Linked DNA regions of Arabidopsis thaliana. The protein of the gene in region 1 interacts with the protein of each later gene in a pairwise test. Each region holds a gene or a part of one and is shown in the gene's direction. Other genes may lie near its edges. The genes, in order: AT3G57220, AT1G14670, AT5G66830 and FZL.

Region 1 (6,951 bases):
TATACACACAGATGATTCTACAGGTGAAGAGGAATGTCATATAGCAGGGGTTGTATCATACTTGATGATTCTATAACTTGGAATACAAAATCATTGTCTTCCAGATCGGACTACTAGTCTTCTTTTGTGCTCCTTTATCTTCATATGTACATGATTGATCCTCAGCATTACACACTTGTGGTTTTTCTTTCCTCTCGCTCTGTTTTGCTAGGTCCTTATCAATTAGGAAGGTTCTGCAATTACGTTTCCAGAACTCCTGTCATCAAGTATCAAATTATCTCTCTACCTTCCATTCTTCAGATTTATGGTTTTCCTGAAATGTGAAGTTTGGTTTCTCAACATCTTTAGCTTCTTATGAGTCACTCAGCTGATGTCACAAACAGCTTCATGTTGACTTAAACCTTACAGAAACTTAATGTTTCAGACTGAGAACATGAGCAATAATTTAGAAGAGAGTACTTAAGTCAAATTAGTAGCAACCAGGCATTGACAAGTACTGATAAGGTTGTGGACCATAACAACCAATAAGAACAACTTAAAAGAACTTATACATGTTGGACGTATGATTTAGTAGTTACTGCATTGTTTAAACTTTTCTTGTTAAAATCTTTCTTACACTTTGATACAAAAGAAAAAGATGGTCATATTCTTAAATACTTTATAGTTTGTGCCTTTTTCATGTGATACATAACTCTGAAATCTAAAATAAATTCTTATTACATACAGAAACTATTCAAGGTGGAGACATTTAGGAAACCGTACAACACACAGAAACCAGTCCACTTAACATTTTACCAAATTAATAAGTTTAATAATATCATCTCTAATCCAAATTTTGAACCGCCATGGTTTTTGTAAGCCTTGCGCCGTCAAAGTTTAGATATCCGCCATGGTTTGGGAATGCTGAAACGCCGTAAGAGAAGTTTCACGCTCAGACTCGTACCCTTTTTGGGTATACTTTCGGATGGCTGATTCTATGGATCTTGTTTTGCGAAGACGATGAGCCAAGCCAACGCCATGGTTTGTGCGCCGCCGCCGCCATATCTGCCGTGATTTGTGAATTAAACGCTGGGACAGAAGTTTGCTACTCGTAGCCTTCTTTTTGGGTATGATATCTGAGCTTTGATTCCAACCGTCGAGACTAAAGCATCCCGTAGTCTCATTGAAGGTTTCTTCTAACTACAGCTATGCGATCAAGGTTCTGACCACAGCGAGCCTTACAAAAGTCAATGTACCTTATGTAGACAGTTGCATTCTTAGCAGTGAGAGAGGACTCACTGGGTGGCTCCATAGTTTGAATGGCTACTGACACAATCCTCAAGCCGGAAAGATCATGATCCGTGGTGGTCCTATCAGATATGGCAACAGAAAGTTCCAGATACAGACGAATCCAGTCATTGGCTCGCAGCTCTGATTCATCATCCACCACGTAAAATCGGTTTCTGTTTTCGAAAGGGTTCTCCAGCGGGAACTCAGGCAAGCTACCCATGCGGTAGAATTCTCTTTCCAACGACGTTTTAATGATTGTCCCTAAAATATACAATGATGAATGAAATACTAGTTGTTGTAATAATAATAATGATGTGTTAATGAACACGCCTACCCAAGTAAGGAGTCACATGTAGTATAATAATAATTTAATTACCTGGACGACGTCTTTCAGCAATAAAGGAGGTCAAAACAAGCCGGCCACAAGCTTCTTCATAAACGGAAGTCTGAAAAGTAAAACGCCTTCCACTAGATGGCTGCATTGCAACCAAAGTAATGTAGAAACAGCAAGCACCAGCAGCCAGAGTCCTGTTGTATCTCTTAACGTGAGAGAGCTTTAAGTTTGTCCCCTGATAAATCAAAAACGAAATTTGAATAAAAAGAAGAGCAAGAGTGGATAAAGAAAGAGAAGAAAGGAAGACAAGAGTCTTACACTTTGATTAAAAAAAAGATAGTATAGTTAGTAATTGCCTAATTAATTTCACAAAGAGAGATGATAATCAAAGAAGTTAAATAAGTCTATGGGATGCATTCTTAATAGTAATCTTGTTAACTTCTTTCTTACATTATGAGTCTTTGATTATATAAAAAAAAAAGATATTAGTAATTTGCCTAATTTCACATGAATCCCATAGACTTATTTATTTCTTTATACTTTGCTTTTTTGGGCCTTTTTGATAATTCATAAATAAGTGGTGTTGATACGATGTCGTATTGTTGTGCGTGGGCAAGTTGTAATTAAATGCTACAGGCTTTGAAGCTTCAGCGAAAAGTGGAAGAAGCAAATCCAGAGGCGGGGAACCAGAAATAGCCAACGGATCCGCCATGACTGCTCGTAAGAGAACTCCTTCAGTGTCCAATTCGGAGAAACTAGCTCTACCTGAACCTGCATCTTCCCCGACGGTTCAGAAGACCTCTGTTTCCGGAGAGGATTTCCAGCTCGCGCCGCCGAAATTGGGCGTGATTTTCGTGATCTCTTCGCTTCTGTGTTCGCTTTATCTTTACCTTCTCTGTTTCCACTACAATGTTGACAATGAGCTCAAGCGTCCGATCCTCATTAACGCTGGGCTTAGCTTGGTTGGATTCTTTGTCACACTCAAGTTGATTCCTGTAGCTGCTAGATACGTTCTGAGGCGTAATATGTTTGGTTTTGATATCAACAAAAGAGGCACTCCTCAAGGAGAAGTTAGAGTGTATGTTTTTCCTTCTTAGATTTGTCTTTGTTTAGTTCTCAGATTAGTGTTCAGCGTTTTTCTAGAAATGGATGTCTCTTAGATTTGATTTTTTGTATAGGAGGAAAACTATGAGATGTCTCATTTTCTGATTGATGTTCTATGGATGTTTACGCTTGATTTGATCTCAGGGGACTTAAAGTCTTTTGATGTGCTTATTTTCAGCAATCTTATTTCTTTGTAGGCCTGAGTCATTGGGAATTGTTGTCGGTATTGTCTTCTTGATAGTGGCGATTGTATTTCAGTTCTTTAATTTCACTGAAGATTCGGTGGTAAGTGTCCTGGTCTCAAAAGCTCAAGCTTGATCATTTATTTATTGTGAACTATGAACTTGGTAGCTCTTGGCTCATTTACTTTGAATGCAATTTATCAATCTGGCTAAATGACTCGGTGCAGTGGCTTGTGGAGTATAATGCAGCACTGGCGTCTATTTGCTTCATGATATTGCTTGGATTTGTAGATGACGTCCTTGATGTGCCTTGGAGAGTGTAGGTGCAGTTCTCATTTTGTTGGATTAAAAATTCATGATTTAGTTTTGTTTTCTTATTAACTCTTGTCAATTTGCAGGAAACTTCTCTTGCCATCTTTTGCAACCCTTCCACTGTTGATGGCTTATGCTGGACATACAACTATCGTCATACCGAAACCTTTAGTTTCTTATATTGGCTTGGAAGTGTTTGATCTAGGTACAATTCATCTTGTATATAGTGTTAAACCATCAATAGCTATTTTGAAATTCATTTCCTTAGTTGTATATTTATCGTGGCAGGACGTATATATAAGTTATATATGGCGCTACTGGCTGTCTTTTGCACAAATTCTATTAACATTCACGCTGGTTTGAATGGCCTTGAAATCGGTCAAACCGTAGTTATTGCAGCTGCTGTAAGTTCTGCTGTCAAAATGCGTCGCAATGCTTCATTTTTTTGGTCCCATTTTTCCTTCTGTTGGTTTCTCGTAAGTAAAGTTATGATAAATCTCAGTAACTTGTAGATTCTGATACACAACGTTATGCAAATCGGAGCATCTGTTGATACTGAGTATCATCAAGCTCATGCCTTCTCAATCTATCTTACTCAGCCATTGATGGCAACATCCTTGGCAATGCTTGCCTACAATTGGTAATCTTTGGATCTTTCAAGTCATTTTCTCTTAAATCAATCAGGTAAACTAGCAAAGCAGAATGCTTTCTCTAACCACGTTCATGTCCCCTCTTTGGTGATGTTAGGTACCCTTCTGCAGTTTTTGTTGGAGACACTTACACAGTCTTTGCTGGAATGACTATGGCAGTTGTTGGCATTCTCGGTCACTTCAGGTATACTTCTAACCATACCGTCCTTATTGCAATGTACTTAGATTCATCATTTACATTTAACTTATGTGTGAGCCTTCAATTAACTAACTACTTATGAAACTTTGCTTTTTGCAGTGAAACCCTGTTAATCTTTTTTCTTCCTCAAGTGTTGAACTTTTTACTGTCACTTCCGCAGGTTTGATACCTTTCTCCATCTCACACTTTCTGTTACTTTTCAATACATTTGAAAGCATCTAACTTGCTATTGTATAACTCTTCAGCTTGCTGGCATTGTCAAATGTCCACGACATCGTCTCCCCAAGTAAGCTATTTTTTGTCCATTTTTCATAAGAGGCAAAGCCAACAAGTAAACAACACATGACTCTTCCTCTCTCTTTTTTAAACCAGGTATGATCCTGCTACGGGACTGTTAACAGGAACAAAAGATGGGACACTCGTGAACGTCTACTTGAGGATTTTTGGTAGGAAAACAGAAAAGTCTCTATGTATTCATCTTCTTGTTTTCCAGGTAAACTTGTTAATGCCCATATTATCATCTCTAAATACAAGTTGGTTTATTCTGAGAGAGAGAAATCACAAGATTGGTGTTTTGTGTGTTCTATTGCAGGCTCTTGCTTGCGCATTTTGTTTCATGCTTAGGCATTTTCTAGCTGGTTGGTACAAATAAATCTCTGCAACATGAAGAAACTCTAAACCTGTTCCTCTTTTCATCTCTCTCTCTGCCTTCACAAATCATACAAACACAGAACTTGTTTTGCTTCATGTCCAACAATCTACTAGAATCATCGTTTTAGTTCACTTATATAGAGAGTTTTCATCTAAAGGCGAGTGTATCTCAACAATATAAAGCCAATGAAATGAATCAGAACAAATTTGTCTTGGAATTTAAATTTAACTACAAATGCTGATCTTATTTTGATAACTTTGATTAATAAACTAAATAATTTTTAGATTAAAGTTTTGCTAATATAGCATGCATTAAATGAAGTGTCCATTTACATATATTTTTGAATTTTAAAAATGCGCTTTTAATATTAGACAGACTACTGTCGTACTAGAATAATAAAGAATGTAATAAAAAAATAGAAGGAGAATCGGAAAAGAAACCCACTTATAGAATGCCATGTGTCAAAACATAACAAGCGAAGTATGTTTATATAGTAAGAAAACTCTTTTGCCCTAAATATCCCAAATTGTCATATGTTCTTTCCTTATGTGGCTCTCTCTTCTCTTTCTCTTTCTCTTTCCTTTTTCTCTTTCGATCAACAAAACCACATCTCTGAACTGAACCAATTTCTCTTCTCCCCCTTCCGGTTATCGGATTACCAGATCTCGTTTCCCGCGATCTAGTTTATTCTTTGAAAAAGGTAAATGTTCAATTTTTTTATTTTATTCAAAATCTCCCCTGGATTCAGGAGATGATGATTTGAAATTGACGATGATGTTTGTGTGTAAAAGTGATAGAAGCAGAAATGGGAAGGGGCAAGATCGCGATTAAGAGGATCAATAACTCTACGAGCCGTCAGGTTACGTTCTCGAAGCGAAGGAATGGATTGTTGAAGAAAGCTAAGGAGCTTGCGATTCTCTGCGATGCTGAGGTTGGTGTCATCATCTTCTCCAGCACCGGTAGGCTCTACGATTTCTCCAGCTCCAGGTACCTTTTTTCTTTTCTCTTTGGTTGACTTTTTTTTTGGGTCTTGGTCCATCTAATTGGTTGATTGATTGATGTAGCAAATTCTAAATCTCGATTTTTTTTTTTCTTTCTTAAGTCGATTTCTTGTTAATTGTTTGCAAATTCAATTGCTTTAGAGAAGGAATCGTAGATCAACTTAGTCTGATAATTTGCAGAAGAAATCACTTGGTTTGAATGATAATATGTTTTGTAAGGGGAATATGAGAGTGTGTTCTCTGTGTTGTTGGAGATGATTACGATATTTGTGTGGAACATAGATTGTGAGGGACTTGTGGTGTTTATTGAAACATACTAAATTTGGTAGAAACTTTATCAGAAGAGGAAAGGAGGGGAGAAAGTGGTTAGTGGTTGAAGAAAACTCTAAACTCTAGAGAGGATTTAGAAAGAATCGTCTCCTTTTCACTGTTCATTTACTTTATTGGCAACTAGTTGGTGGGTTTGATGTACCTAAAATGAGCTGCATTATCTTCTCTTAATATATATTGTTAGTACACAAGTGGGGGAATCATTTCTGATTTCGTTGTCATCCATAATCAAGTTTTTGTTTTTTTAATTCTTCAACTTGGTCATTTGTTAATGATATGTAGGAGTATAGTCTTTCTTTTTGGGAACATTTTGCGATTTGTTAGAAAAATATTATATCTTCAATCCTTTCTGAATTTCTACTTTAGGAGTTCATTCATTTCTTTATTTGATTGTATCTTTCGTGTTTACATAATTGTTTATTAAAAAAGGTTGAATAAAATCTGGCTCTTAGATCTGTTTCAGAGGGAGAAAGCTTCCATTGTTCTGCAGAGCTTTTGTTGTTTCTCTGTTTTTTGAACTGAGACTCTGTTTTTTTCTTTTTTTCTCTTCAATAAAGACAGCAAGATATCTATACTGTTTACTGATTAGAGTTGGCTCTATTTACATCAATTTTGTCTGGCTTCTCTCATTCTCTGCTTAAACTTCATACATTATGTTAGATTTATTGCGAATCTGTAGTTGGGGTGCTGAGAATCCTGTTCCATGTAGACAGAGATGGCTTAGGGTTAACTAAATCTATTTAAGTAAGAAAATTTGACACTGAAAGATGTAAGGATAAATGTTGCAGTGGATGTTGCTTGGGTTACATTACCTATCAACCACACTCTACAACTATGAAACTACTCTCTTTTTTGGCAGCATGAAATCGGTCATAGAGAGATACAGCGATGCCAAAGGAGAAACCAGTTCAGAAAATG
Region 2 (7,559 bases), on another chromosome or scaffold:
CGGGAAAGTTGGACATACAAGTATAAGAGGAAAAGGAAGCTCCACGAGTTTCCTGAAAAGAACGTTACGAGTAATGAATGGTCCTCTTAACCCCAATATATGTCAAAAAGAAAGCTACTGCGGTAATGGTATCAGGAATTAGCGATGTTATCCGTTAATCATGACGAATTCTAGGAGAAAACCTCCCTTTACATCTTCCAAGAACAAAATAAAAAAAAAATCCGGACGTAGAATAATAAATTGTGAAGAGACACCTTTGTAAGATATTGTCTGACCGCTAAGAACGCTTTCAGCGATAATAACTCCACTGCAATTCACAAGAGACACACATGCAATGATCTTGTATCAATCAGGTATCGGCTAAAACATCGTCTGCAGTATTTTGTTTGTAAAATAACCAGTAAATTTTTGTTTTCGAATCTTGCCAGACAGTTCGTACCTGAGCATAAAAACTAGTGTATTTGCAATGTAAGCGGCCATTTCCCTACAAAAGTTATAGGGCAATCATAAAAATATAATATATACATGTAAAGATTTCCTTTGATTTGACGAAAAAAGAACACTGAGTTGTGAAATACCAGAAGTGATGCAGACTCTGGTGACTGTCCCCCTTAAAAGCTGTCCTTGCAAATGCAGCGAAAAACCTATTACAATTATGTTATGAACAATGGCTTTTTGACACATAACAACAGAAAGAAGGGATAATTTACCACGACTTACATCCCCAAAATCATGACAGTCAAAATTCCAGAAACCCCAGCCCACTCTTGAGCCTGTACATAGTAGAAATTTCTTAGGTTTCCTAGAGATTTAAGATTCTCCATTGGGGACTAAGTTATGTAGAAGAGAAGAGCATACAGTGTAATAGGCGAAATAGCTCGCTGAAAGTGTTACAGTGATCTGAGCCACCGTGTCATTGAATATGAATTTAAGCCAAAAAACTGATGCAATTCCAAAAGCTAGACCAATGCCTACACTAAAAAACCAGAACAACATAAGCGGAGAAAAGAAGACAGCGACATACAATACTACTAACAAAGGAAAATAATCCATACGCTCCGAATGAGTTTTGGACAAGAAATTTGATTATGGAACCCCAATCAGAGTTATGCCCCATCACCATCTTGAAGAATAATTGAAAAACCACAACCGATACCCTGAATAATCCAAACAACTAAGCTTGATCATATATGACATAACATCACCTTGATGCTAAACATAAGAGTTTGACATGGTTACCCATCGTTCATGAGAGATTCCCCATCAATTAACGTGGTCATCTTCTTACTAGCACCAAGCTCCTTTAGCAAAGCAACAACAGCCACGGGGTCGGTAGCTCCTAAAAGTCCTCCAAGCAACAATGATGTTTTCCAGTCCCAGTTATATGGAAAAGTAAGCTACAAGAGCATAACTCGAAAAAATTGTTAAGTTAATTGAAGCTCACTTAATCACAGTCGAAAATGTTGAAGCTAGTTAAAGTACCTTTATAAGAGCTCCGAGACAAAAGGTGGAAATCAGAACTCCAGGTCCAGCAAGCAGAACCATTTGTCCCATACATCTCTACCAATGATGTAAAACAATCAATACCAGGAACCAACACAGCCAAGGAAGTAGCTCAATCAGGAAAGTAAAAACCTTGATCTGGTGCACATCCATGGAGAATGAGCTCTCGAAAAGAAGAACAGGGAGAAAAACAGCCAAAAGTAGGTCAGGGTTGATACCATTCCCTGTAAAGTTGCCATTTTTTAGAGCTCGTAATCTAACAGTATGGAGAAGAGAAAATACAGTAGCTTACAGATACGAATTCCATGGCCGAGCTTCCCAAGGTTATGCTTAGTTCCATATTCTACAGAAGCAAAAAAATCCAAAATTTAACTACTTTCTAAAATCTTCCACGAAATTGAAACTGAGCTATAAAGCTTAATGAGCAAACAAATAAGACCTAGGGATCCGAGAAAAATGCCGATGACGAGAAGAACGACGGTGTACGGAACTCTAGTGCCGTTAAACAAATATCTACAAGCGGTGCCGAGAACCAGCGAAGTTCCCGCGAAAATAACAGCATCAACAGGACTCGAATCGTTCTCAGCTGAATACGAAGAAGATGCAATTGCTTTCTCCGGTGATTTGTACGGCAACGCCGCGCCGATTATACTCGTCATCTCCGGTAGAAAGAAGCAAACGATCAATCTTTCGTTTTGCCAGTGATTACGGTCAAAGATGCTTTTACCGAACCGAATCTGCTTCGTTTAAGAGTGAACCAAGATTGAATCTAGTCTGGTTTGGCTTGACCTGTTTTATTTCGGTTACGTCTGGTTTTCTATCACTAATTTGAACGAAAATTTGAGAAATCTTAATACGTTTTTGATTAGGTTTCTGTTTTCTTTGCTAGATATGAATGTAGTTACTGGATTATACTACTCTGTTCAAATGAAGGGTACATATATTTACATGAACCAAATTATGAAATAACAAAACCGACTCACTCTAGTCTCTAAACTTAACTAGTGTCACTTTTGTTTGTTTGTTTTGATCCATACTTCAATGTATCTTGTTCAAATTGTTTGATTTTATTTTTGGTATAAGTGGCTACATTGTAATTTCTTGCTGATTCAATCTATAAATCGAAAACCTTAAATTATCCATGCCTCAAAACGATGCACGTTGTGTATAAATGAGAATTTTAAATTGTTTAGTTTCTATAATTGCTGTCATGACGTGAGATCATGCAAAGCAATTACGTACGATAACGCACGTAAAGGAAAAATGATTATCAGATTCATATATTTTTTTTTTCAAAAACTTGGTCTCGTGTAACATCATTCGTCATTCTTCATATTCACTATACTATAACCACAAAAGATATTAAAAAAATAGTCACTCCACTCCACATCTAATACAAAGAAGTAATAATTTAACTATTCAAAATTTATGAAGTGTTAATACGATAAGATTTTCGACCCAAGGAAAAAAAACACTATAAGATACATAGGTTTGGCAGAACAATTAGTTCGCTCACTGCCTACATATTCTTTTTTTGGTTTAATTAGCCTACATATGGGAAAATGATTTGTATTTTGTTAAATGCCACTCACATTTGTTATAAATAATTAGTCTTGGTTTCAAAAGCCATATATTTATGAATTTATAGACATTGATATTTATTTTTATGGTTGGAAATGGTATAAAGTATTATTGACTATAGTTTTTTTATGTATTTTTCTTATGAAATAAAGTGAGAAAATAATAAAAATATTAAAATTTGTGTAGCTGACTCGAGTTTGATTGAAGTCTTTGGTATATAAATATTGTCGTTATTTCCTCCATTTTTCTCCCTCTTCTCCCAAATAAAAAAAGTTACTCAGATCTCACGATTTGAGCAGAATACGCAATGAGGACACCGACGACGATTCTCCTTCTTGTCGGAGCTATCCTCTTCTCCGGCGCCGGCTATGTCAGATCCGACGCCTCCGACCACCGTTACAAGGAAGGAGACACCGTTCCTCTCTACGCCAACAAGGTCGGCCCATTTCACAATCCAAGGTAAACGGAAACATCTATTCTAGATCTGAGCTTCAGATCTGAGGTTGTTTCCCATTCTTAAGCCTGAGGATGATAAATTGATCGTTTATTGTTGAATCTGTTGCTATTGAATTGAGTAACGACATTGATAACTGAGTACACTGCAAAATGCGTAATGTTAAAACCAAAGAGTGAAAGAAGAAACTACATTTGGAATGTTTTTCGTTTATGTGATGGATCTGTCTTAGATTTGAATACTATTATATGACTGATTTTGGTTTTGTTCAATGATGATTGCAGTGAGACGTATCGATATTTTGATCTTCCCTTCTGTATCCCAGGTATGCTTATATCTTTACTAGCTTAATCACACGATTTGTGTTTAAGCCGCAACTGATTTGTGTGACATCTCCTGATTCGATCATCCCATTATTGAATATGGTTTATAGAGGGTGTGAAAGAGAAGAAGGAAGCTCTTGGCGAGGTTCTAAACGGGGATCGGCTAGTTAGCGCTCCATACAAGCTCAACTTCAGAGATGAAAAAGAGTCTGAGGTATACTGCAACAAGAAGTTGAGTAAAGAAGAGGTCAAACAGTTCAGAAAAGCTGTTGAGAAGGACTACTACTTCCAGATGTACTATGATGATCTACCTATCTGGGGATTCATTGGAAAGGTTGACAAGGATATCAAATCTGATCCGAGTGAATTCAAATATTTCTTGTACAAGCACATTCAGTTTGAGATTCTATACAATAAGGACCGTGTGATCGAGATCAGTGCTAGAATGGATCCTCATTCGCTTGTGGATCTCACTGAGGATAAGGAAGTTGATGCAGAGTTTATGTACACTGTGAAGTGGAAGGAAACTGAGACTCCTTTTGAGAAAAGAATGGAGAAGTACTCTATGTCTTCTTCTCTTCCACATCATTTGGAAATCCACTGGTTCTCCATTATTAACTCCTGTGTCACTGTCCTTCTTTTGACTGGATTCCTTGCAACTATCTTGATGCGAGTCCTCAAGAACGATTTCATGAAGTAAGTTTCAAGTTTCCTCACTGTCGACTGTTTTACACTTGTCTATCTCATCTAACCTTATTCCAATGCTTAAAAGGTATGCTCAAGATGAGGAAGCTGCTGATGATCAAGAGGAAACTGGATGGAAGTACATTCATGGCGATGTGTTTCGGTTCCCTACTCACAATTCTTTATTTGCTGCATCGCTCGGTAGTGGCACTCAATTGTTCACGCTGTAAGTCTCTCATAACTCGAATACTTTCCATCTGGATACACTTTCATCCATATCCGCATTTCTTCTTACTGTAACTAACTGTAGCTTTTCCTTTTATTCCATGTCATCAGCACCATATTTATTTTCATGCTTGCTCTTGTTGGAGTGTTCTACCCATACAACCGAGGAGCACTCTTTACCGCTTTGGTGGTCATTTACGCTCTCACTTCTGGAATTGCCGGATACACATCTGCCTCTTTCTACTGTCAACTTGAAGGAAAAAGCTGGGTAAATATTTACACATGATGAGAATCATCCCTGTCTCTCAAAAAATCATCTTCAACTGAAATAAACAACTTCTCCCTTTTTTGACATTATTGCAGGTGAGGAACTTGTTACTCACTGGATGTCTCTTCTGTGGCCCATTATTCCTAACCTTTTGCTTCCTTAACACCGTAGCCATCACCTACACTGCAACCGCTGCATTACCCTTTGGAACCATTGTGGTGATCGTCCTTATATGGACTCTAGTTACCTCACCTTTACTCGTTTTGGGTGGTATCGCGGGTAAAAACAGCAAAGCAGAGTTCCAAGCACCATGCCGTACAACCAAATATCCTCGTGAGATTCCACCACTCCCTTGGTACAGAAGTGCTATTCCTCAGATGGCCATGGCTGGTTTTCTTCCTTTCAGTGCCATCTACATCGAGCTTTACTACATTTTCGCTAGTGTCTGGGGTCACCGGATCTACACCATCTACAGCATCTTATTCATCGTTTTCATCATTCTCATCATCGTCACTGCTTTTATAACCGTTGCCTTGACTTACTTCCAACTCGCTGCTGAAGATCACCAATGGTGGTGGAGGTTCGTTAAACTCAGCTAATCGTCTCTATTCTTTTCTCTCTGACCATGAGAACTTGAGTCTGATTCTACAAATTTCTATTGCAGATCATTCCTATGTGGTGGATCGACCGGTTTGTTTATCTACGCATACTGCTTATACTATTACTACGCACGATCAGACATGTCGGGTTTTATGCAAACCTCGTTTTTCTTCGGATACATGGCTTGCATTTGCTACGGATTCTTCTTAATGCTCGGAACAGTTGGCTTCCGCGCAGCCCTCCTCTTTGTCCGTCACATTTACCGGTCGATCAAATGCGAGTAAGAAGGTCTGTACACCAATCTTCTTATGTTGATTTCCTTCTTCTTCTTCTGCCTTCTTACGAATTTTGCTTAGAACAAAGAAGATAAAGAGATAGGTTGTTAGAAAGAAGAGAGACACAAAGACAATGTCTGATTATTTTCTAAAGAAGCATCTCTTCTCATTAGAGGTTTTAGCGAGAGTCTCTCTTCTTCTCTCTTTATTTTGGGCTACAGAAATTAAATTACTTGTATCCTTTCTATATATTTTACCTATTGTAAAAGACTATCAATACCTTTGAATTCGAGTTTCTTTGTATCTAATAAATTTCAAAACACACATATTTTCTCCTTCATATATATCTTCAGTCTATACTGCACAATAAAAATAATAATTTGAAGATGTAACTAAATAAATATTGGAGAGCTAAATTGAAGTAAATTGCATATTTTTGTACTTGTTTGGATCCAATTGAAAGATCCAAGGTTGATACCACCGACATACAAGGACATAGTGTTAGCTCTTTAATGGGCCAAAATCTCGGCCCAACTATAAATGGTTTCATTGACCAATAATTAGTGCCACTGATTTCAATTTTGAAATTCGAATCCTCCTCCTTTGGAATTCAGAAACCCTAGAGTTCTTCAGCGAGCGAACTCTGTCTGCGATTTCTTGTTGATTCTAAATGGATCTCTCGCGAGAAGTCGATGACTTTATCAAAGAGACAATCGATCACTCTTTAGGGCTTCCGATATCCATGGACGTTCTCCAGAAAAAGCTCTACACGGCGGAAGAATCTCAGCGTCGTCTCCGTGAACAGTATCTATCTCTGGTTTCGAGATTGAAAGAGAAAGAAAAAGTAATCGATCTCGTTAGATCCGAAGCGAGTATGAATGCCCAGTCGCTGAAGAAATTCGTCGAAGAGAATCAGAAATTGGGAAGCGAGCGCGAGGATTTGGTGAATCAGTGTAAGAAGTGGGAAAAAGAATGCTTTCTTTATCATCAAGATCGTGAATCACTCATGGAGTTCGGGAACGAAACTGACGAAAGGGCTAGAGAAGCAGAATCTAGGGTTCGTGAATTGGAGGAAGAAGTTAGAAAAATGTCTGATGAAATCAAGAGCCGGATCGAATCTGAAGAAGATTGTTTGGTTGATTCAATATTGGCATCGTTCGTTAGTAAAGATGAGAGTATATCATTGGGGCGTATCTTCTTGGAGGCTAATAGTGAAGAAGACAAATGTTGTGAAACTTTGTTGAGGAAATGGGATCAGTTAAAGCCAACGACGCAAAAGTTTGTGTCTTTAGTGTCAATGGTGAAGAGAATTGAAAAGGAGAAAGAATGTCTCATTATGAATCTTGCTAAAGCAGAGCAAGAAGTTGAACTTGTGAGCGAGCAAAACAGAGAGCTGGATAGAGAAAACCGCAAGTTTTTGAGGCAATGTTCTGCAGAGAGAAGCCATGGATCTAACAAGTTCAACAAGAGAAAGAGTATCAAGATGATGAGTAGTCCGATTGAGAAGAGGATTGAATTGAGCAGCCAAGAATTTATCGATTGATGAAGTTTAGATCCAATGCTGATGAGTGGTTTTGTTTGAATCTCTTTTGGTAATTATTATGAATATGAATGAGCAGTTCTGGCTATTGTTTAGATTGGTAGAG
Region 3 (5,689 bases), on another chromosome or scaffold:
TCTATTGGTCCTCAGCCTCCCTTCTCCTTCAGGTGGCGTTGCTCTCTCGTCCCCAAGAAAATCGCTTCTTTTATTTTTTTGTTTACTAAATCTTCACATAATCTTTTTAAAAAAAAAAGTCCTAAATTTCAGATGATTCGATGTTCTTTTCAGACATGGAGCGAAAAACCCTAGCGATTACGCCTCCTTCCTTCTTCTTCCACCTTGGGTAAATCCTTCTTCTTCTTTCTTCCTCACTTTATTTTATCTTTTCCCGATGATGGGTTCTTCGATTTTCACGAAAGTTTTAATTTTTTTACATCAAGTTCGAATCTTTTGTACTACTCTGCTTCTTCTATCACTTACTTGTTCTGGGTTTTAGTTCGATGTTTTCATAGAACAGTTTTAATTCAAGTTTCGCCTTTCGCTATCAATAGGAATAGTTCCTTCCTCTTTGTCTTTTTTCTGTTTATAGAACTATTTCTTGCTTCTGATTTCTTCAAATGACATTCTCTCTTTTGGGTACTATTCAAATTTTCATTTTGTTTTAACCCTTTTTCATTTTTGGGTGATTTTTTTTGTTTCCTAGAATGTTTATAGCTTTTTAAGTAGTTGGTGAATCCCCAAATTAATTTCATTGTTTGTTAAACCTCTCTTATGTGTTTGTGTTTATGTGTTAACAGAGGAGGAGCATTTGGTTCATCAAAGGCGTTTCATTGTCTTCTCCTTCTCTCATGTCTATTGCTTTCATCAGTCAATACATTGCATAACTTAGCTGAATATGGTTACAACACTGGTTCTGCTGCTATGGAGTTTCAGGGCTTTATTAATGGTGAAGATTCTGGGAGTGTAGCAATCCAGAAATCTGACCAGAATGTTTGTCCTAGTTCACAGCTGTTTTGTTTCCTTTCAGCTTTAGGATCAGAGAATCGGTCTGATCCATTTGTGTTGGCTTGTCCCAAAGAATCACGGAGTAGCTCTGCTCTGATCAGAAAAAATCTATCTGGTGTTGTGTGGCTATCTCTGAAGCCTGTCCACATCATAGAGTTTCAGCCATTTACTGGATTCTTTCACATTGGAGACACTTGTTACGAGCCTATGTCCAAAGAGCTCTATACTAAGAAGACCACAAGGGAGTTAAGTATTACGGTTTCAGGAAAACAATGTGGAGGAAATGGTTTTATGGTGAACCATCCATGTGAAGGATTTTCATTAGAACCAGGGGATTCCATAAAGTTTCTCTTTTTCTACCAGAGTGAACTCTCTTGGGCATCTGGAGTTGCTGTTTTTGCAGTACCTATGAAGGCGACCGCACCTGTTTTGATGCTTAGTCTCTACAAAAAACCGGTCTTTTGGGTGCGGACGAAGAAATTCGCAATTGCGGTTCTTATTGCTGCAGCTCTACTCATTCTGATATTTTGCTTCAATGATCACTTCATCGAGGAGAACAACAAGAGAAACAATAGCAACCACATGGAGTCGAGAGAAGTTGAGAAACCATCTACGATCACAATATCCCCTGAAATGGATTCTCTGCTAAGATCCATAAGCAAAGAAAGCCTGCAAGTGTTCGATGAGGTTCCCAAGAACAGCAGCAGCGTTAAGCCAGTTGCTTCTTCACACGAAGAAGAAGCATCAGAAGCTGTGAATCTCACTGTAAAGACAGCGAAAGACAAGAAGAGGCGCCGTAACAAGAAAAAGAAGAAAGGAGGAATCAACGGATTAACACCAGAGTGCACAGATGTTTCAAGCAGTTACAGCGGAAACTCAACTCCTAGGTCTCCAATATCACCAGAACCACCTACTACTCAAGCCGCAACGAAGCTAGTAAAGCCTCCTACTAAACCGGTCCTATCGCACTCAGCAACGTTTCCGGTTTCAGGGGTTAAGTCAATGATCATACAACGAAGCTCACTGGCTCCAAATGTGAGAGCACCTGGAGCGAAATCAAGAACCGAAGTGAAAGAAGAGAAAGCGAAAGAGTATAGGTACTATGATATCTGGGGAGATCACTTGACAGGGCTTAATTTGATGGATAAGTTAAAGGAAGTGAGAGAAGGTAAAAGCTCAGGTTTTGATGGAGAGGAGTGTGAGAGTTTCTTTGTTAAGGGTCCTCAGAACTTGTTAGCAGACTCTCACACCAGGTTTGTAAGTTTCTGTAACCAATGGGGCTAACAAAGAAATAAAGAATGAAAAACAAAAATATTTTATATAATAATGCAAGGCCCAATGGGCTTTCTGAGCAGCCACCAAGCCATTCCATTAGTGAGATATAAACACAAGCAACGTCAAACCTAAATAATGAATGTCACGTAGACAAGTTTCGACGTCTTTATAAACTTGAAGGGCTTGGTTAAGATTCCGTCCTATGGCCTCTCCGCTACTCCCTGGTCCACCGGATCAGAGAAGAAATCTCGATTGGTGCTGGTCGAAGCTTCCTTCAGATCTCATGCAATTTGTATTTGACCGCCTTGGTTTTGCCGATTTCCAACGTGCAAAATCCGTTTGTTCATCTTGGCTTTCAGTTTCGAGAAATTCTCAGCCAAACAATCAAATCCCTTGGATGATTCGATTCCCCAAGGACAACAATCACTGTCTCTTGTTCAATCCTGAAGAGGAAGACAAGATGTACAAAACTCCAAATCTCGGCAACGATTTCGCAAAGAGCTCTTGTATCGCCAGTTATGGAAGCTGGCTTTTGATGCAACCTGAATCAGAATACATGGAAGAAGACTTAGACCATCAATGTAATAATCTCTATATTCTTGATCTTCTAACCCGCGAGAGAATCAATCTACCGATTCTCCAACCAGAGTTTGGACTCACATGTCCGATATTATGGACCGATGAGAAAAGCAAAGATCACCTAGTTATTGGAATGGCTCATGAAGAATTAGCCATTTCTTTCAAGAAAGGAGATTCCTCGTGGAAACAAATCCCAACCTTGTCAGGTATCGAAGAGTGTTTTAGCATGGTTTTTAAGGATCACAAACTTTACTGTCTGAGCAATTATAAACTCAAGGTCTTCGATTTCTCTGGAGATATTCCGGTCAAAGTTTTCAAAACTAGCGTAAGTAAGTTGTTAAATAATCCACTATGTATTTCCATGAGAATGAGACTTCCTGGAATTCCAATGAAGGACCAGTTGAATCACTTCAAGGATGATATGGTAGTCACTCTAGCCGGACATGTCTTAATTGTTAAGTGCCATCGTCCGAGTCTGTCCAAGATATGGAGCTTTGAAATCTACAAGATGGAAGGGAACAACAACAAGTGGGAGAAAACTGTTTCTCTGGGAGACGAGACAATTCTTTTGGATTTGGGTATCACAGTGCTCGCCAAGGACATGCAAGGGATCAAGGCCAATTCCATCTACTTCTCCAATCCTACTCCTTATTTTAAAGATCAATATGACGAAAACGAAATCTTCATATTCGACCTCGATTCCAACACCGTTGAACAACCGCACCGATCTGTTTCCTCTTCCTTTCCCCGCTCTAGAGCCCGATGGTTCTTGCCATGTTTCAAACGAGAATCATACTTCCTTCAGTAATTTGTCTTTTTTTTAATGTATCTACGTATTCTTCATATCAAGTATTGCAACATTTAGTAATAAAGAATAAAGCCAACAAACGATACTTGCCATATAGAGTAATAATTAAGCCAAGAACACCATCCTTGATTACAAGGTAATAACTTTTGAGGACGGTCTCGGACCCTCAAGATGAGAGTGAAGGCAAAAAATCACACCCGTAAAAAAAAAAAAAAAAAAAAAAAAAAAAAAAAAAAGAGAAACGGATGATCAAGAGAATCATGAGCCTAGAAAACTTTCTTACGAATCACAGACAAGGGTTGAGAACCGATGATCAGGACGCTTTCCTATGGCCTTAGAACCTGGAAATTGTGTTGAAGTAAGTTTACTTGCAAAAGAGACAAGTACCAAGTTTGTATGATGATGAAAGATATTACTCACGAGGTACGGTGTGTTATCGATAATTTGGTCTGTGATTGTCTCCTTCTCTTCTGTTGTTTACCATGTACAAGTCCCTTGCCCCATGGTTGTAGCTACTATTGAAGTTGGAATGGTAGGTCTGATGGTTCATGTATGGCCCTTGAGTGACCTCACTCTGCCTGTATGTGTCTCCTTCTCTTCTGTGGCTTATCATCATATGCGAGAAGTGTTCCAAGTCCCTCACTCCCAGGTTGTAGCCACTGTTCGAGCTGACATGGGGGTTCTGGTATGGTCTCCTCTGATGAGTAACCGGCACAGTGTGTGTATTGACATGTGGGTTGAATGATGCTTGTCCCTGCGGAGCATTAGAGGCAGTTCTTCTGATGTAGAAAGCTGGTGGTGGTCTTTGGTTTGTTTGGTTTTGCTGTGTTGGATAAGTATAGGAGGCAGGTGGTGGTCTTTGGTTTGTTTGGTTTTGTTGTGTTGAATAAGTATAGGAGGCAGGTGGTGGTCGTTGGTTTGTTTGGTTTTGTTGTTCTGAATAAGTATAGGAATGATAAGGAGGAATATTTGGACGAGGAAGATGTGAATTGATAGGAGCGTACGAACGAGGAGCATGTGGTCGAGGAGCATATGTAGGAGGTGCATGTGAACGAGGAGCATGTGGTCGAGAAGTGTAGAAATTAGCGGGATTCATATCTGTCAACTGTGTTGGATGATTCTTATGGCCCTGTGAAGGATTTTGGTTTGGAAAAGCAACAAGTGAATGATTAGCGGGAGTGTTTTGTCTAAGCCTCTGGGTTAGATTCTCATCTTTCTCGTTTTTTCTTGTCTTTACTTGACAAGGCTTCTTCACATGACCAGGCTTTTGAAGTCTTCCATCTGGTAACAGAAACAGAAAGATCACTAAAAGAAACCTCTCATATATATATAAACACACCTCTATAACAAAGAAAACTAAATCATCTCTCACCTTTTAGTACATAGCCTGACTTAATTTTCCTTTCTCTCATAACCTTTCTTGCTGCGGCACCACGGTTATGCTTTTCGTTAAGAACTTTGACTCTGTCTTCTTCATTTGGCCATCGCTGGAATAAGAAATGGAGCAACCAACTGATAAGCATATGCAAACCGGCAAGACTCATGACTGAATATGAAAAAATAGAAAAGAAAACCCACCTGCCTCAAGGTCATTAACCTATAAAGATTTCGTCCTTTGACTAGTAATGGATACAAAGGTGGCAATTTCTGTGTCCCCTCACACCAGAGCACTTCAATCTATGATAAAGACACAAACCAGATAGTTAGAAGTTAGAAGAAACCAGGCAACAAGATCAGAGAATATAAAGATGATCAACAAACATTAGAGGTGAGACTTACAGTGAACGTGTGTTGTTGTTTAGCAGTACCATAGCTTTCTTTAACAACCTGGCCAGCGACAGTTCTTCTCCCCATAATATTTCCACTCTTTTTCATCTTTTCATACCTATTCAACCCCAAGATCATTGATTTAGGGAAACACAAAAAAAAAAAAAAAAGTGATAGGAGAAGTAAAAAGCATGAGTTTATTATAGAGAAGTTATTACTTGTGGTGAACCTTCTGTGTAAACAAAACAATGTCTCCTTTGCAGACATCACCTGCACCAATTTATAAGACTATCAAACTCTGCCAAACAAAACTTAGCATATCAAAAACTTTTAGTAATATTACCTTTACAATTGATAGCAAAGGATGATTTTGGATACACTGCTTCTCCA
Region 4 (9,382 bases), on another chromosome or scaffold:
TACTTGTGGTTATTGATTGCAGTGATAAAGCCTACTTTGTGGATCTTTTTGTAAGAGCTTCCAACACACCAGCCATCAAGATGTATGAAAAGGTAATATATTAGGATTATGAAATTGATTAGAAGCCTCATAATGTTGATGACATTGTAGGAAAAAAAGAAGAAGTTGTAAATGGGACATGCACACATTTTACATATTTCCATTTATTAGTGTCAAATCTCCTTCATAGGCTTCTTCTTGATGGCCATTTTGATGAAACAAACCGTTTCTCCTTTTTCTGGCAGCTTGGATACATAATTTATAGGCGGGTTTTACGCTATTATTCAGGAGAGGAAGATGGATTAGGTGAGGCTTTGATTAACTTCTTTTTATCTATGATTCGCGCTTAACTTTTTCTTTTGTTTAAATCTTAAATCGTTTGATCTAAAAAAACAGATATGAGGAAGGCATTATCAAGAGATGTAGAGAAAAAGTCTGTGATTCCTCTCAAGAGACCTATCACACCTGATGAATTAGAGTATGATTAAGACCCTAACTTGGTTCACAATTGTTATCTGCATTAAAAATTTCTCCAAGAGCCTTTAGATGATGTTACTATTCCTGTTGTTTCGTATTTGAACTATTATGTTTCGTTTTCTTCCACACAAATTTATAATTAGTTTTGATTAAACTTTAATCTATATATACATTTTTGGAGGAGATTTTTGAAGATAATGTTGAAGATTTGAGCCATAATTCAACAATTAATTCAAATGGTTGGGTTTTACCCGGTTTAACTCTGTTCGGATCCTGGATAACATGTTTAATTCTGTTCTGATATTGGATAACATTAATTTTTGGAAAAGTTACCTAAAAACTAATAATTAAAAACGAAAATTAATGATTTAATATAAACAATATCTCTAAACTAACCATATTTCTTATTTACCTTAACCAATTTCCTAAAATATTTCTACCTAATTTAAACATAAATATATAATTCTTCTTTCATTTTTATTTGATCTTATACTTTATTTATTTTGAATTTATATAAAATATATATAGTTAATAAAATATTATATTTTTTTCTGAATATGATGTAATTCAAAGTTTTTTAAACGGACATATATTATTCAACCTATGAAGAAATAATATGTGTACAATGTCCCACATCGCTTAGAAAAATTGGACAATGGTTCAGACCCATATTATAAAAGGACCAAAATGATTCTGATTACGAATGAGCAGGAAGCTTGATTTATCAAGCGTCCAAAATTAAAATAGTTATCTGATTTTACTCGGATTTATTATTTTAAAGAATTGAAACTTTAAAATGTTTCAAGAAATTATAAATATTATAACTTTATCAAAAGTTAAATATTATAATTTTAAAAACTTTTTATAAAGTTTATCTTTAAATTAAAATGGTTTGTTTCCTAGGGTTATTTATTTTAAAAAATTGAAACTTTAAAAAGTTTAAAAAATTATAAATTAAATTTTACAAGAAATTTAAACAATATAAAAGATATTAATACGGGACGATATATTGCGAGAGAAATCTTAGATATAACACTCAAAATTCAATGATGAAGTTTGGGTCAATATTAATCTTTTTTGAAGTTTCTAATTTTATAAATATTTGAAATTTATAATAAAATGACAAATTTGTGTTTAATTTCACGGGACGGGGTTATATGGTGTGACAGGTTTGAGTGGATAATAACATGGGATAGTATGCTATGGAGAAAAACATATAATGACAATCATAATGTAATTATATAATCTTAAACACTAAACAAAATTAACAATATTAAAAAAAAAAAACTTAAAACTTTAATTTTTTTAAAACACATTTTGATTCTTTTATAAGAAATTTAAATATTATAAATATTTAAACTTTATACTACGGGTGAAATTTTAGAATTGACTGTTTGGGTTGATAAGAATTTGCGATAGAACTAGGAGTTAAAATGACAATTAAAATATAATTATACAATTAAATACTACCACGAGCGAAATCCTAGAATTGACGAGTTTGAATCGATATTAATATGGGATGGTGTACTACGGGTGATATTTTAGAATTGACTGGTTTGGGTTGATAATAATTTGCGATAGAATTAGGAGTGAAATCCTAGAATGACAATTAAAATATAATTATACAATTAAATACTACCACGGGTGAAATCCTAGAATTGACGGGCTTGATTCGATATTAATATGGGATGGTGTACTACGGGTGATATTTTAGAATTGACTGGTTTGGGTTGATAATAATTTGCGATAGAATTAGGAGTGAAATCTTAGAATGACAATTAAAATATAATTATACAATTAAATACTACCACGGGTGAAATTTTAGAATTGACGGGTTTGATTCGATATTAATATGGGATGATGTACTACGGGTGAAATCCGAGAAACAACAATCAAAATACAATTATACAATATTAAACATTTAACAAAATAAACAAATACAACTTAAAACTTTAAAATTTGAGTTATAAAATTTCTTCTCGCGGTGAATTATACATTTAAATCAAACAATAGCATTAAATTTATTAAATCATTCTAAAAAATATTCAATTATTTTTTATTTAATAAAAATATAGAACCCTTAGTTGACATAGTTGATAAGTCAAGTGTTTTACTCTTCTAATCTTAAGCACTTACCTTAATGAGACACACATATTAGGATTGGTTGCACAAGGCCGATTCTTATACACTGTATACCCATTACAACGAAGCCCATTATCAACCCTATATAGCAATCTGCAAGACAAAGATCCAAACATATTGAATAACAAGTAACTTTTTTTTTTCTCGGTCCAACTTCATCTGGAATAACAAGCAACTTTTATCTGATGTATATACTTTCAGTGACCATCTACCTTAGTTGGTTTGAAAAGAAAATAGTTGTTTATTCGTTCATGTTCTTAGAAGTTCTAAATTTTGATCATCTCTTATTTGAAAGCTCAACTAAAATAGCTATGATATCATTCCCTGATGCTACGTACTAGGTTTTTAAATTCATACACACACAAATCTATAATTAAAACTTGTTAAATTCATACACACAAAGGACAAATCTTCTTCGTATTAAAAAAGATGGAGGCTCTGGAACATCTAGTGGTGCCGTATCACTTACTTGACTGGTTCAAGCCGTTTGTCTTTGTTTGGAAGAAGTAAATTTAATTGTGGGAGAGGGATTTCACGAATTTAAATCTGTTTTTCTCCCTTTTCGTGGTATACTTTGGACCTTTTGGATATGAACACATATGTGAAAACGTTAATTCATGTGTTTGAAAAGTAATTAATCGCGCCGTCCGTCTTATAGCTTTGGGATGGGCCAATAGGATATTTAAGAGATAAGAAAACTAATCAGAAACACAGACGAAGGTATCTCACTCTCTCTCTTTCTCTCTCCATGAGAACTCTAATCTCTCACCGGCAATGTGTGACGTCACCGTTTCTTATCTCCGCCGCATCTCCACCGTTTCCTGGCCGGTGCTTTAAGTTATCCTCCTTTACTCCTCCACGTCATAGGCGTTTTTCTTCTCTCTCGATCAGAAACATTTCGCATGAATCCGCCGATCAGACTTCTTCTTCTAGGCCGCGAACTCTTTATCCTGGTGGTTACAAGCGTCCCGAACTCGCCGTTCCCGGTTTACTTCTCCGGCTAGACGCCGACGAGGTTATGAGCGGGAATCGTGAAGAGACTCTTGATTTGGTCGACCGTGCTTTAGCTAAATCGGTTCAAATCGTCGTGATTGATGGCGGAGCCACCGCTGGTAAGCTCTACGAGGCGGCTTGTTTGCTGAAATCACTTGTCAAAGGCCGTGCTTACCTCTTGATCGCTGAACGTGTTGATATCGCCTCCGCCGTTGGTGCTAGTGGTGTTGCTCTCTCCGACGAAGGTAACAACTGATTTCATTCAGTTTTAGCATTTAATTTCTCATAGAGTGAGTTTTGTCTCTCAATGCTATGTACAGGTCTTCCGGCGATTGTGGCGAGAAACACATTGATGGGATCCAACCCCGACTCGGTACTTCTTCCACTGGTAGCTCGGATTGTGAAGGATGTTGATTCTGCTCTAATTGCCTCAAGCTCCGAGGGTGCTGATTTCCTTATACTTGGATCTGGTGAAGAAGATACGCAAGTGGCGGATTCTTTGTTGAAGAGCGTGAAAATACCGATATATGTGACTTGCAGAGGCAATGAAGAAGCTAAAGAAGAATTGCAGTTACTGAAATCAGGTGTTTCTGGTTTTGTTATTTCGTTGAAAGATTTGCGTTCTTCTAGGGATGTAGCTCTTCGCCAGAGTCTTGATGGAGCTTATGTTGTAAATAATCATGAGACACAAAATATGAATGAACTGCCGGAGAAAAAGAATTCTGCTGGCTTCATAAAATTAGAGGACAAACAGAAACTAATAGTAGAAATGGAGAAATCTGTGTTGAGAGAGACGATTGAAATCATCCACAAGGCGGCTCCACTGGTGATTTTTATTTCAAACATTTGGTAGTTGAAGTCAATTTTTTGAAATGGTTCTAAGTAGGTTTTTGTGTGGTTATAATATGGTTTCATTTACTTCTTCGACTATTTTTCATTAACAGATGGAGGAAGTCTCCCTTCTAATTGATGCTGTTTCTCGGATCGATGAGCCGTTTCTGATGGTTATAGTGGTAATTCTGCACTCAACTCCGTCAAATTGTGATTCCAGGAATTTGCATTGGTATTAGCTCTATATTCATTCCAGAAACATTTTAGTTACACACTTTTGCCAGCACTAGATAGCTTGAGATACAATGGGCATGCTTCTAGTCACTTGTCCTTTAGTGCTTCTCAATATCTTCTTTCGTCGCCTATGACTATGATGTTTCGCTTCTTCTTTTGTTCTGTCTATGCTTCTCTTCTTAATTTGCTTATGGATCTGGTTGTAAGGGAACTGCATATTTCTTAACTGTACCATCTGCTTGTGTACATAGTTTTTTCGCTTTCTTGTGACTTGTGAGTATGCCGTTCTTGGAAGATGTTTTAAGTGGGACAAGTTGCCTTTATGATTCAAAATAGTTTTTGTATGGATAATTAATTGGAATCCACAATTTGCTGGTACTAGGGGGAATTTAACTCTGGAAAATCAACGGTTATCAATGCACTTCTTGGGAAGAGATACCTGAAAGAAGGGGTAGTCCCCACTACCAATGAAATCACGTTTCTGTGCTACTCTGACTTGGAATCCGAAGAGCAACAACGTTGCCAAACACATCCAGATGGCCAATATGTATGCTATCTTCCTGCACCAATACTTAAGGATGTGAGTAATTCAAAATTCTACCATCGCAGTCCTGAATTTTTACTAATTATTTGGAGGAATTGATTTGGGTTGTTCTCCTTTCGAGCAGATAAATATTGTTGACACACCTGGGACCAATGTGATCCTTCAAAGGCAACAGCGTCTTACAGAAGAATTTGTTCCACGTGCAGATTTGCTTGTTTTTGTTCTTTCTGCTGACCGCCCTTTAACTGAAAGTGAGGTAGAAGTTACCGTTTTACTTGGCATGTTAGTTGTTGTTGTTTTTGCTCAATATGTATCTGCCTAAGTAGCTTGTTAGATCTATTTTTCACGAAAGTAGTTAGTTAAGTCATGTATAGACCATCAAGACCTTGTGTAGGGAAGGGAAAGTTGTCACTAGGTTGAATGCATATATCAAGGTTTTGTTGATTATAAATTTAAACTAGACTAATTTATTTTCAAAGTAATGAGTGTTATAGCTATTGCTGGAACCAGTATGTCCTGTTGGTCCATATTTTGGTAAAGCTTAGGCCAATACATTTGAGAGGTGAGTTGTTATTGGTACAGCAAAACTGATTTTACGTCCATGGCAAATTGTATGTAAATGATCATCTACGAAGTACTAACCTTATGAATATTTGGTTCTTATTTTGAAAATCTGAAAAAGTTTCAAAAGAAGGAATAAGCTTCTCAATGTCATCATACCCATGTCATTTCTATCTCTACCTCTGGAGCTTCCTGCTGTCTTGATTTTACTGTAGGCTGATTTACATCTCATTGCGTTTGTCAGGTTGCGTTTCTCCGGTACACACAGCAGTGGAAAAAGAAATTTGTGTTTATTCTGAATAAATCTGATATCTATCGTGATGCTCGTGAGGTTTATCAGAAACAATATTTATGTCTTTTCCTTGATAGTCTCTGTAATTGCTGGATTTTTCTTGACTAAAGATTAATTTTACTGCTGCAGCTTGAGGAAGCTATTTCATTTGTTAAAGAGAATACACGGAAGTTGCTTAATACAGAAAATGTGATATTGTATCCGGTGTCCGCACGGTCTGCTCTTGAGGCGAAGCTTTCAACAGCTTCTTTGGTTGGCAGAGATGATCTTGAGATCGCAGATCCTGGTTCTAATTGGAGAGTCCAGAGCTTCAATGAACTTGAGAAATTTCTTTATAGCTTCTTGGATAGCTCAACAGCTACCGGGATGGAGAGAATAAGGCTTAAATTGGAGACACCCATGGCGATTGCTGAGCGTCTCCTTTCTTCTGTGGAAGCTCTTGTGAGACAAGATTGCCTAGCTGCTAGGGAAGACTTGGCTTCAGCAGACAAGATTATCAGTCGAACTAAAGAATACGCGCTTAAGATGGAATATGAGAGCATTTCTTGGAGAAGGCAGGCTCTCTCGTTGGTATAAATTCTATTAGATATTATCTTGTTGAATCACGAAGGAGGAAATTGGATTGTTCTAACTTGGCTTTTTTGTGTTTTGTACTCTGGCTTTTATCGCAGATTGATAATGCCAGATTACAAGTTGTTGATCTGATAGGAACTACCCTGCGACTATCAAGCCTTGATCTTGCGATCTCGTACGTGTTCAAAGGGGAAAAATCGGCCTCAGTAGCAGCTACATCCAAAGTTCAAGGTGAAATACTCGCTCCAGCACTCACAAATGCGAAAGTAAGTGTGATGCTTTATTCTTTGAGTATTGGCCTAACTGGGGACATGTTGGTCATATATATGAGGTCTGAGATATAGTCACTATTCATGCAGAAAGTAAATATTGTCTAACAATGTCTTGTTGTGACCTGATTGACTTTACATTTCACTGTTTGCAGGAATTGCTTGGAAAATATGCTGAATGGCTACAATCAAATACTGCCCGTGAAGGGAGTCTGTCTCTGAAATCATTCGAAAACAAATGGCCAACATATGTCAATTCAAAAACGCAATTGGGCATAGACACATATGACTTACTTCAGAAAACTGATAAAGTCAGCTTGAAAACAATACAGAACTTGAGTGCCGGAACCACATCAAAACGATTGGAACAAGATATTCGAGAAGTGGTGAGCTTCAAGTATTAAATACTTTTAGTCTAAGTTCTAACTAGAATTCAGTCGATTAAAGTGTCTTGATCTTCATCATTGTTTAATTGTGTCATCTGTTCAATCCGAACCTATGATCTGACGGAGATGTTAATTCAGTACCGTATTTTCCCAGATACTTCGTCTCGCTATTCAAGAATCAATCTAAGTGACACTTTTGACATAGTTGAGTTTTGCTTGCCTTTTCTAGTTCTTTGTGACAGTTGGTGGGCTTGGAGCTGCAGGACTGTCTGCATCACTTCTAACCTCAGTGCTACCGACCACACTGGAAGATCTTCTTGCTCTTGGCCTTTGCTCCGCTGGAGGGTAATAACACTGCTCTAAATTTCCCCTCTTCCCAATGTCTCATTACTCCACCTTCTTAGATCACGCCTAGTGTATTTTTTTCTTGCAACTAGAGGCATATTTATGACTTTTAAGAAAGACTGGTTGTATGCATAACATAATCTATGTGACAGGTATGTGGCTATAGCAAACTTCCCATATCGAAGACAGGCTATAATTGGTAAGGTGAATAAAGTGGCTGATGCGTTGGCTCAACAGCTCGAAGACGCTATGCAAAAAGATCTTTCAGATGCGACGAGTAATCTAGTTAACTTTGTGAATATTGTTGCCAAGCCTTATCGAGAAGAAGCTCAGCTAAGACTTGATCGTCTTTTAGGAATCCAGAAAGAATTATCAGATATTAGAAGTAAATTACAGTTGCTACAAGTTGATATTGATAACCTTCATGTATCACGAGACGAGATGAGACTTTAGCTATTCCAACACAATGTCGGGTTTTCCCTTCTTGACATTGTTCAGTGGGGGGCAAGTGTATGTACTTTGTCATAATGAATAATACCTGCCAGTTCCGACTTGAAATGGACTCACTGATGGTTTTTTTGAATGCGAATTCAAAAGATTGGGGAGGTTCTTGAAAGAACCAAACAATAGCATTATGGGCGTGAAACTTTGGTATAACGTTTTTTAGCTTCTTTTTCAGATTGTTTGTGATACAAATCGCTGGATGAGTTGGAAGCTCAAGAGACTCATGGAGAAAATTTTCTTCTGATCTTTGACCTGCACATGTACCTCATATCACAGGTAAATATGTTAGTTGACTCATTTTTTCTGTCAATTGGATTTTATGGTCTCCTAGAGTTCATGAATTGCTTGATACATTCATATGAAATTGATTCTCCGCATAGAGCATCTAAACTTAGTTGTCAATGTACTAATCTTTTGACTTTAGTGGCTTAAATATGAGGGAAAAAAACAATCTTAGTATAAGTTTCCATGGAGAGTAATTCTCAGCATATGCTAGCTGTGATTTCTAAAGATAAAACGCTTGAATTTCTTTTTTAGTTAAGGATTGGTTCGAGAAGTTTTAAAAATCCAGAGGTGCTAGAATAAACCTTGTTAATGCTTGATACTGGAGATTGTTTAGAATTAACGTTAGAAGTCTAACACTGTATAAAAGCTTGCCATATGGTCCTCCTAAGTTTTCTAAACAAAGTCATAGCTTTAAGCTAATGACATATATGCTTGATAACCAAACCTTTTATTTTATTAAAAACAAAGAGAGAATATTAAGTATGGACCATACTGTATGGTCAAAAGTTAGGGAAAGAGAAAATCTCCAGTTGACATGTTTTTGTGTAAACGTGAAACAGATTCCACCTTCCTTTGTTGCTAAAGATCAGAAAGAAACATAGACTTCCAAAATAATATTAAAAATTGCGAAAATTTCGAAAACAAAAAGGAAAATTTGAAGGGATCTAGCTTTGGATTGTCCTTTTCAGTTGGGGACCAGAAGTGGAATGATGATGCAGAGAAAGCCCACTTTTTTTGGTTCTTGTTTCCAGGTTTCTCTTGTTCTGATTGGTTTAGGCAAATCTAAAACCAAAAAGGGGGAAAACACACGGAAACACAGCGATTGGCGAATGCGAAATTCGGATGGTCAGGGCTCACTAGAGAGAGAGAAAATAAGGTACAGATTCTTGCTTATAGCTTTACTTAC

What was found.
Region 2: the proteins of AT3G57220 (region 1) and AT1G14670 interact in a protein complementation assay, tested with the Arabidopsis thaliana proteins (one large-scale study listed by BioGRID).
Region 3: the proteins of AT3G57220 (region 1) and AT5G66830 interact in a protein complementation assay, tested with the Arabidopsis thaliana proteins (one large-scale study listed by BioGRID).
Region 4: the proteins of AT3G57220 (region 1) and FZL interact in a protein complementation assay, tested with the Arabidopsis thaliana proteins (one large-scale study listed by BioGRID).

What each region holds. Positions count from the first base shown.
Region 1 is NC_003074.8:21,172,203-21,179,153, forward strand, and holds AT3G57220 (Glycosyl transferase family 4 protein), read left to right. Parts: upstream 1-2,192; 5' UTR 2,193-2,313; coding exon 2,314-2,681; intron 2,682-2,904; coding exon 2,905-2,992; intron 2,993-3,116; coding exon 3,117-3,208; intron 3,209-3,287; coding exon 3,288-3,406; intron 3,407-3,489; coding exon 3,490-3,605; intron 3,606-3,713; coding exon 3,714-3,841; intron 3,842-3,948; coding exon 3,949-4,035; intron 4,036-4,149; coding exon 4,150-4,210; intron 4,211-4,295; coding exon 4,296-4,336; intron 4,337-4,422; coding exon 4,423-4,543; intron 4,544-4,642; coding exon 4,643-4,702; 3' UTR 4,703-4,992; downstream 4,993-6,951. Other genes in the region: AT3G57210 (uncharacterized protein), read right to left, coding at 1,160-1,530, 1,646-1,751; AGL16 (AGAMOUS-like 16), read left to right, coding at 5,508-5,689, 6,893-6,951.
Region 2 is NC_003070.9:5,034,278-5,041,836, forward strand, and holds AT1G14670 (Endomembrane protein 70 protein family), read left to right. Parts: upstream 1-3,298; 5' UTR 3,299-3,391; coding exon 3,392-3,543; intron 3,544-3,822; coding exon 3,823-3,863; intron 3,864-3,971; coding exon 3,972-4,557; intron 4,558-4,633; coding exon 4,634-4,771; intron 4,772-4,881; coding exon 4,882-5,038; intron 5,039-5,133; coding exon 5,134-5,618; intron 5,619-5,702; coding exon 5,703-5,922; 3' UTR 5,923-6,320; downstream 6,321-7,559. Other genes in the region: NHX8 (Na+/H+ exchanger 8), read right to left, coding at 1-52, 255-307, 440-484, 579-644, 721-773, 859-976, 1,056-1,157, 1,240-1,397 and 4 more; AT1G14680 (early endosome antigen), read left to right, coding at 6,584-7,456.
Region 3 is NC_003076.8:26,688,957-26,694,645, forward strand, and holds AT5G66830 (F-box protein (DUF295)), read left to right. Parts: upstream 1-2,296; 5' UTR 2,297-2,347; coding exon 2,348-3,532; 3' UTR 3,533-3,733; downstream 3,734-5,689. Other genes in the region: AT5G66820 (uncharacterized protein), read left to right, coding at 141-208, 663-2,154; AT5G66840 (SAP domain-containing protein), read right to left, coding at 3,966-4,813, 4,905-5,019, 5,111-5,209, 5,312-5,417, 5,518-5,569, 5,643-5,689.
Region 4 is NC_003070.9:757,915-767,296, forward strand, and holds FZL (FZO-like protein), read left to right. Parts: upstream 1-3,346; 5' UTR 3,347-3,406; coding exon 3,407-3,896; intron 3,897-3,971; coding exon 3,972-4,477; intron 4,478-4,595; coding exon 4,596-4,664; intron 4,665-5,098; coding exon 5,099-5,296; intron 5,297-5,384; coding exon 5,385-5,516; intron 5,517-6,065; coding exon 6,066-6,152; intron 6,153-6,242; coding exon 6,243-6,683; intron 6,684-6,784; coding exon 6,785-6,952; coding exon of another isoform or gene 6,953-7,017; intron 7,018-7,110; coding exon 7,111-7,341; intron 7,342-7,570; coding exon 7,571-7,686; intron 7,687-7,838; coding exon 7,839-8,139; 3' UTR 8,140-8,280; downstream 8,281-9,382. Other genes in the region: AT1G03150 (Acyl-CoA N-acyltransferases (NAT) superfamily protein), read left to right, coding at 23-92, 285-345, 436-527; AT1G03165 (uncharacterized protein), read left to right, coding at 8,449-8,466, 9,228-9,382. UniProt on the Arabidopsis thaliana protein: Probable membrane-remodeling GTPase that plays a unique role in the in the determination of thylakoid and chloroplast morphology and regulates organization of the thylakoid network.